Linked DNA regions of Danio rerio. The protein of the gene in region 1 purifies or fractionates together with the protein of each later gene. This does not show direct contact. Links are inferred from orthologs where the notes say so. Each region holds a gene or a part of one and is shown in the gene's direction. Other genes may lie near its edges. The genes, in order: ikbkb and prkcq.

What was found.
Region 2: the proteins of ikbkb (region 1) and prkcq purify together in Homo sapiens (affinity purification with western blotting; 4 studies listed by BioGRID). This does not show direct contact. The link is inferred for Danio rerio from reciprocal best matches to the Homo sapiens genes IKBKB and PRKCQ.

Annotation. Positions count from the first base shown.
Region 1 is NC_133183.1:3,589,748-3,593,597, forward strand, and holds part of ikbkb (inhibitor of nuclear factor kappa-B kinase subunit beta), read left to right. Parts: intron 1-2,022; coding exon 2,023-2,239; intron 2,240-3,850.
Region 2 is NC_133179.1:26,061,812-26,066,266, forward strand, and holds the start of prkcq (protein kinase C theta type), read left to right. Parts: upstream 1-1,326; coding exon 1,327-1,444; intron 1,445-4,455. UniProt on the Homo sapiens protein: Calcium-independent, phospholipid- and diacylglycerol (DAG)-dependent serine/threonine-protein kinase that mediates non-redundant functions in T-cell receptor (TCR) signaling, including T-cells activation, proliferation, differentiation and survival, by mediating activation of multiple transcription factors such as NF-kappa-B, JUN, NFATC1 and NFATC2.

The DNA of each region.
Region 1 (3,850 bases):
AAGAAAATGAATTATTAATAATAATAATAGTAATATATTGCATTGATAATGCTCTTTTTTTATAATGTGTAACTGAAAATGAAGCCAGTTATAATTTTTTTTTTGTTACATTTACTCTGTACGACATAATTATATATTTTTCTTTTTATAAATTTATTTAATTATTTTAAGTTGGCTTTATTTATAAGTAATAATTTATAATTATATAATAATAATAATTATTATTATTATTATCATTGTTATTATTATTATTGTTAATATTATTATTATTGTTATTATTATTACTATTATTATTTTTGTTTATTAATAATAGTCAAATAAAATACTAATATTGTTACTTTTTTGTTATATTGATGTTTTGACTCTCAACATGTGACTTTTTCAAAAAAAACAAAATAATAATAACAATAAAAATGTTAATAATTACAACAACAACAATATAAACAATAATTTGTATTGCTAATGCTCTTTTTTAAACCAAAAGTGGTGTAGTTTGAAAATTAAGACCGCTATAAAAAAATAAGAAATTTTTTTTTACATTTGTGCTGTAAAAAATTATATATATTTAAAATAAAATTAAATACAATTTTTACAGTTAAAGTTTCCTTAGTTTATTATTTTTTGTTCGTTTTTATATGATTTTATTTATTAATAATAATTAATAATTGTTATATCTTATAATAATAATACATTTTACTGTTTGAGTTTTAAAAAAAAAGAGCTCTATGTGGTGTAAAGTTTGAAAATACAGACCGCTATAAATAAAATACAATTTAATAAAACATTATTTTACATTTGTGCTGTACAACAAAATGGTTACATTTATTCTTAAATACTATTTTTACAGTTAAATAAAGTTTCCTTAATTTGTTAGTTTTTATTCATTTTTATTTGGTTTAATTTATTTGTAATACTAATTATAAATAATAATTACTAATTATTTTTTGTTAATAATATTCATTCATTCATTTTCTTTTTGGCTTAGTCCGTTTTTTTTAATCTGGGGTTGCCACAGAGGAATGAACCGCCAACTTATCCAGCAAATGTTTTATACCCCTCCAGCTGCAACCCATCACTGGGAAACGTTCATACACACCCATTCACACACACACACACACACACACACACACACACACACACGCGCGCTACGGACAATTTAGCCTACCCAATTCACCTGTACCGCATGTCTTTGGACTTACAGGGGAAACCGGAGCACCCGGAAGAAACCAATTCAAACATGTGGAGAACATGCAAACTACACAAAAAACGCCAACTGACCTAGGCAAGGCTCGAATTAGTGACCTTCTTGCAGTGAAGCTAACGTGCTACGCACTGTGCCACTGTGTAGAGTGTTTGGTGTTTCCCAGTCCTGGCCTGCGACTGGAAGGGCATCTGCTGGATATGTTAGCAGTTCATTCCGCTGTGGCGACCCCAGATTAATAAGGGACTAAGCTGAAAATAAAATAAATTGATGAATAATTTGGTAAAATACTAATACTTGTTAGAATGATGTTTTATGAATAGCCTCTGTCCAATGATTGCAGGCCAAACAGCAAAGCATCGCAAAGTTTTATTTTTTTTTATTGCAATAACACAAAAAAGATCAGAAAAACAAGAAACTTCCTTTTTTTGGTCAACCTTTACAATATGGATTCATTAGATAAATGTATTTACTAACATGAACTAATTATGAACAATATTTGTACAGCATTTATTAATCATAGCTTAACATTTACTAACGCATTATTAAAACCCAAATTCCTGCTTGTTAAGCCTAGTTAATGCACCATGAGTTAACATGAACTAACAATAAACAACTGTATTTCATTAACTAACATGGACGAATAACGTAATAAATGTTTTGTTCATTGCTTGTTCATGTTAGTAAATGCATTGACTAATACACCCTTATTGTACATTTTTTTCCACCAAATTGTGCAGCCATCACAAGATTATTAAACCAGTAAATAGAGTGATCACAGTTTTTTAGGTTGAACTTTAAGCTATAAAGATGCGTTTCAGACTGTTAGCTGGTGAGCTGGAGCGCTGGCTGCAGATGATGCTGAGATGGTCACCTAAAGAGCGAGGAAAAGACTTAAAACAGCGCAACAAAGAGAGTCAGGAGACGCCCAAAGATGCAGAAGAGGAGAGTAAAGAAACCAGTCCAGAGGGTGCCAAAGATGCTCCAAAAGCCCCCTGCTTCTGCTTTGATGAATTAAGCCACATTCTCAATCTAAAGGTAGGCTGAAGTTCAATAGTATGATCAGCAAGTCGCATAAAAATATTGGCTCGTTCACACTGAGCAATGTCGTTTAGTACTGTGCAGTATGCAATTATTTTCAATACCACTGTCAGTTGTGAATGGTATTAAAATAGCAAACTGTACTAGGGACCTGCCAAAATTTTTGACGGCCAAAATTAACGGCTGTAATGGCATTTTAGAAATATGGGCAAAAAAAATATGAGTTAAAAAAAAGGTTATGCTGCACCATAGTCGTGAAGTAGCTTTCACACCTGATGTGGAAAGCACTGTGCTATGAAACCAATTCATTTCAATGCACCATGCAAAGGCAGATCTTTTTGCTGCATCAATCAATGAGCAAGAGTAGTGGAGCACTTGCTGACGGTCAAAGAAAATAGCTCTATATACTGCTCTATGGATAGTCTGCTTATGTTCACGCATTGTATAGTTTAAGGTTTTCTATGCTGTTCTACTTACGAACTTATTAATTTGTGAATTGCACATGTTCACCAAATAAGCAAAGTCTACTCAAATAACACGCCGACAGGACATTAACTTGTAGTATACTTGTTCCTGCTGTCAAGGCAACACCGGTAAAATGATTCCTCTCGACTTGTTTACTGTCAGCAAGATGGGGTTATTTATTTGCCTGTGTTTTTTTTTTGGAATCAGAATAAGTCATACAAAATTCTATTAATAAAATAATAAATCATTGTTTCAAACAATTTTTGGTTTCAATTTTCACCCAAATGCATACAGAATTTTTAATTTTGGTCCAGAATTTGTATTTTTGTGCATCCTAAACATTCACATACCACATTTTTGGACCCATTCATAAGGCTAACTAGCCAAAGACTATAGACTACGCAAGACATGTCACTATTGTTTTAAATGGGGGAAAAGAGAAACGATCAATGTGGCTAATAAAGCCCACCTTCTAGTACAGGAGCCAATCGTTGATCGCTATATGGTAAATAAAGCCCGCCTTCTAGTACAAGAGCCAATCACCAATCGCTATAAAACAGGGCTATACAATTGGCGGCCTGCGAGCCGAACCTGGCCCCCGAGGCAATTTGTTCCGGCTCTTCAAACAGTGTGACCAAGACATCAAAATAAATTTAGTTCAGTCGAAAAGCTGCCACTGTAGTTATGAAGTGAAGTGCGTCTGTTCAATATAGCACAAGCTGCAGAGGCTGCGCAGAGAGCGAGTCACCTGACATTAAGCGAGTGGCGCAGGCAGCATTTAGATATGTTTGTAGAAAAGGCCTTTTGTACAATGCACTGATATCATTATTAGGGATGCAACGATTAGCCGATTTCACTATTAAGTGCGCTTTAATTTGCCACAGTATTTAAATAGCTACTTACCTAATATAAAGCTTGAATTTACATTATACATAATAACAAAATACTAAATAAAAAATAATAATAATAAAAAAGTCCATTGTACAATACAGTGATGTTATGTAGTTTCAAAATACAATATATTAACATTTTATTGTAGAAAAAGGCCAACGTGGGTGTCATAAGGAGCAAAAATACAGCATATGGGCTCTTATATGTAGTTGTATCATCACTCATATAGCAAGTCGTATCTCTCCGGCCCTT
Region 2 (4,455 bases), on another chromosome or scaffold:
CATTTTTTTCTAAATTCCTAATTTATTTTGCTAATCTATTATTTTTATTTATTTAGATTTTTGATTTATTTATTTCGTATTATTTAGTTAATTGACTAAGTTTTATTAACCTTAAAAGTCTATTCAAAATTCTATATTTATTCTAAATTCATTTATTAATATGTATTTATTTATTTATTTATTTATTTTTATCCATTTAATTTTTGTTTATCTATTTATTTCATTCATTATTTTTATTTTTATTTATATTTAATAATAATAATAATAATAATAATAATAATAATAATAAAATATAGTATTATTATGTTTTATCAACTATACAAAAAAATCAACAACCAATTTATTTGGTTTTATTTATTGATATTCCTTTATTTTATTTATTTAATATTATTTCTTCACATAATTTTAATTTATTTATTTATTTAGTATTATTGTTATTATTATTAAGAAGTTTTATTAAAAACAAAAAAACTAAATCAACCATTGTATTGCATAAGCACAATTATATATTTATTCTAAATTCTTTATTCATTAATAATTCATTTATTTTATTTTATTATTTATTTTATTTATATTTTTTGGATTCATTTGTATTCATTTATTTGTATTTGTTTAATTTCAAATTGACTTTGTTTGCATATACAAGTTGCTCCAATTTATAAAATAAATACAATGGTTTTTATACGTGTTTATATAATTTGTTTTTCTACTGTTAGAAGAGCTAAGAAATACATTTTTTGGGTGAAAAAACCCACCAAATTATTTTTCATTCATGACAAATAAAAAGATAGAAAATATTGATAGAAAATATTTAACACATAAAAATTTACTTAAAACAACACCTCGAAATGAATACCATAAATTCTGAATCACTCATTTTTCCCCAAAACTGTTTTTTTTTTTTTTTTACTAATAATTAAATATAAACCATTTTCTTGTTTTCTTACATTTGGATAAATCTTCATTTATCAAATTATATTATTTATATATTATTACACTTGTATTTATGCATTTACTAGTCATTTACAACACTTAATTCTGTTTATTGACTTTTGCAGACTTTCATCTCGACATCATTCCTTCTACACCACCAGCAAAAAGATCTGATGGACACAGAACAAAAAAAACAAACACTTGACCTAAAAAATTAAGGACAAAACGCTAATTGCCTTCTTCTGTCACTGGAGTAAAACAACTCATGTAACCGACATTACAAATATGAATATTAGCATCAAATAAGAGTCCATCAACAATACAGAAGATCTCCCAAGTGGAATTAACAAAGGGCCGCTGTCTATCAGAGGATATTTCTGAGCGTTTACAGTCATGTCTCCGTTTTTGAGGATTGCTTTCTCCAGTTTTGAGATGGACCCAGGACTTGCCTATCATGAAGAAGTGCTCAATCCATACTGTGCTGTCTACATGAAAGAGGCTGTGGAGACTGGTAAGTTATGCTTTCTACACACACACATATATACACACACACATATATATATATATATATATATATATATATATATATATATATATATATATATATATATATATATATATATATATATATATATATATATATATATATATGTATGTATATGTATATATATATATATATATATATATATATATATATATATATATATATATATATATATATATATATACATATACATACATATACATACACACATATATATATATATATATATATATATATATATATATATATATATATATATATATATACATATATACATACATACATATATATACATACATATACATACATATACATACATATACATACATACATATACATACATATACATATATATATATATATATATATATATATATATATATATATATATATATATATATATATATATATATATATATATATATATATATATATATACATATATATACATGTATATACATGTATATATATGTATATATATATATAAATATATATATATATACATACACACACATACACATATATACTCGCACATTCTCAGTAGCCACATCTGTATTCAAGTGCATTTATGATACTTAAGTCGCAAGAAGACAGTCCATTTTATTCTAAAATTGTAATATATTTCATTTTAAACATGCTAATTATTAAAAAAAGAAATCTACATCGACAAAATTACTCATATTGGAAAAACTGCTGCTTGACCCACCTACTCAACTTCCACTATAGGTCAAAGCAAACACAACATCCACTCAAAGTTTCTAGCAACTTACTATTGTTGGATTATGTGTGAAGTGTCAGCCTTAATGGAAATGTGTGTCATACGGGTTGTGTCATTGTCAGTAAAAATATAGTATCTGTTTCTGTCTTATTAAACTCACTGTTCAGATGGTGATTCATGAAGCATGTTCTCAGTCTCTTCTTTCAGTCATTAGACTAACTTCAGCAAAAAATAATAATAAATAATGATGGCAGACAGATGCAGTCAGTTTTAAATATGTAATTCAAGATTTTTTTTAAAGATACTAAATGCACTTTTAATGCCTTAATACTTTATGAAGACCTTCTTTTTCTGTTTAATTATTTCACGTGCTATTTTACGAGTCAAAAAATTTCAACAACAAAACAATCAAACATTCATAATATTATGAAGGGAAGTATATCTGAAAACCTATCTCCACTACATGTTTTTGAGAAGTGTGGTATTTCTTTTTAATGTGCAGCATTAATTTACTTAAGAATCATAGATGAAATGATTATTGGTCACACGAACACACTTATCACAAAGCATCAGTTCTGCAGACACAAGTTTGAGTTTCTAGCAGACCTCTTGGTCTTATTCTGTAGAACCAACCACAACCACACATACCTGTCAAAATATAAAGTGTCAAGTCACACTCAGATTTCTTTGAAACAACTTCATTTGTTAAGTTCAATAAATATGCATGTCCAGATGTATTTATATTCGAATAAACTTTTAATATACACATTAAAATCAACAGTAGACCTTGCTTGTGATGTGTTTTATAGACAGTATGTATTTTTATTTTTATAAATGAAATCGTTATTTTGCTAAATGTGCTGTATGTAATATAATAAATGAGAAAGTACATAATATGAAGCCATTATGAAGTCAATATGAAGCCAGGCAGTTTAAAGGAATTGTTCACCCAAGTTTACACCTTAAATTACCAAAAAATTACCCCATAATTTAATCACTCTCAAGCCATCATCGGTGTATTACTTTGTTCTGTGTTTTTGAATCAAAAGATTTTACATTTTGAAGTTTGGTGGCTGCTGAAGGCACATTCTCGACAACTTCTTGGCTGATCTTTGAATCGACATATGGTGCTTGTTGCAAGGCATATTTAGGTATGGGCGACTAATCGAATTGAAATTGCAGCTATGATTGAACAAAGCTGTGATTGTTGGTCACATCTTCAAGGAATTTGTGGTAAATCTCCTTCAAGGGCCACAGGGCTCTCTTTTGGAAACTCACTACTCTGTATAAACTATACTCTGCTTCCATCCAACGAGTCAAAGAGAGTCACTTCCTGATTAACTGGTGCCAAACATCAAAAGTAAAAATGGGATTTGCAGCGGTAGGAGAAGCTGCATGAATCTTTTCCTTATTTAATAAATGACTTGTGCCTCAGAAGACAATGCTGACACATAATGAACATGTGGTGGTGTTTGAAGGTGTGAGACGTGGAGCACAGATGCTCCTGACAGTTCTGAAAGTGATTAATAATATAATAACATTAATATTATAAAATAGTAAAGGCATTTTAGAATGAACAAAACAACATTTCAGATGTTTTACAATGTGCTCAGCCTGCTGGTTTGTCCATTCACACATTTTTCATCACCACATGATCTCTTATTACAATATATATATATATATATATATATATATATATATATATATATATATATATATATATATATATATATATATATATATTTTTTTTTTTTTTTTTTTTAATCAATTATTTAATCACATGATTTTAATGTGCATACTGGAATTTGTTTAGTAAAAGTGTTTCCATAAAAGTTTATGCACAATTTTTTCTTATGGAATAAAAAGTTTTCAAAAATTTTTTAAAATTCATGCCCATCTCACTGTTTCTATCAGCCATTTTTTAAACGCATATCCAAAAAAAGGTGGATGAAAACATAGCTATTGATTCAGTGTGACTACTTAATACACAATTATGGAATCATCTCACAGAATAAATTATTTCAAACACTCAACTGTAGGTGGAGGCAAGTTTGGAATAAAAACATGTTATTATGTTGTTCTTCGATGTGTCGCTATTACTACAGCTGTAATTCATTGATAGTGACACAAACAGCTGTCATTATTACAGAATACTGCAATCTCACTGTTCAATTAAACAAAATTAAAATTTAAATCTATTATCTCAATATATATATAATTTATTTATTTATTTATTTATTATATATTTTTTGTGGCTTGT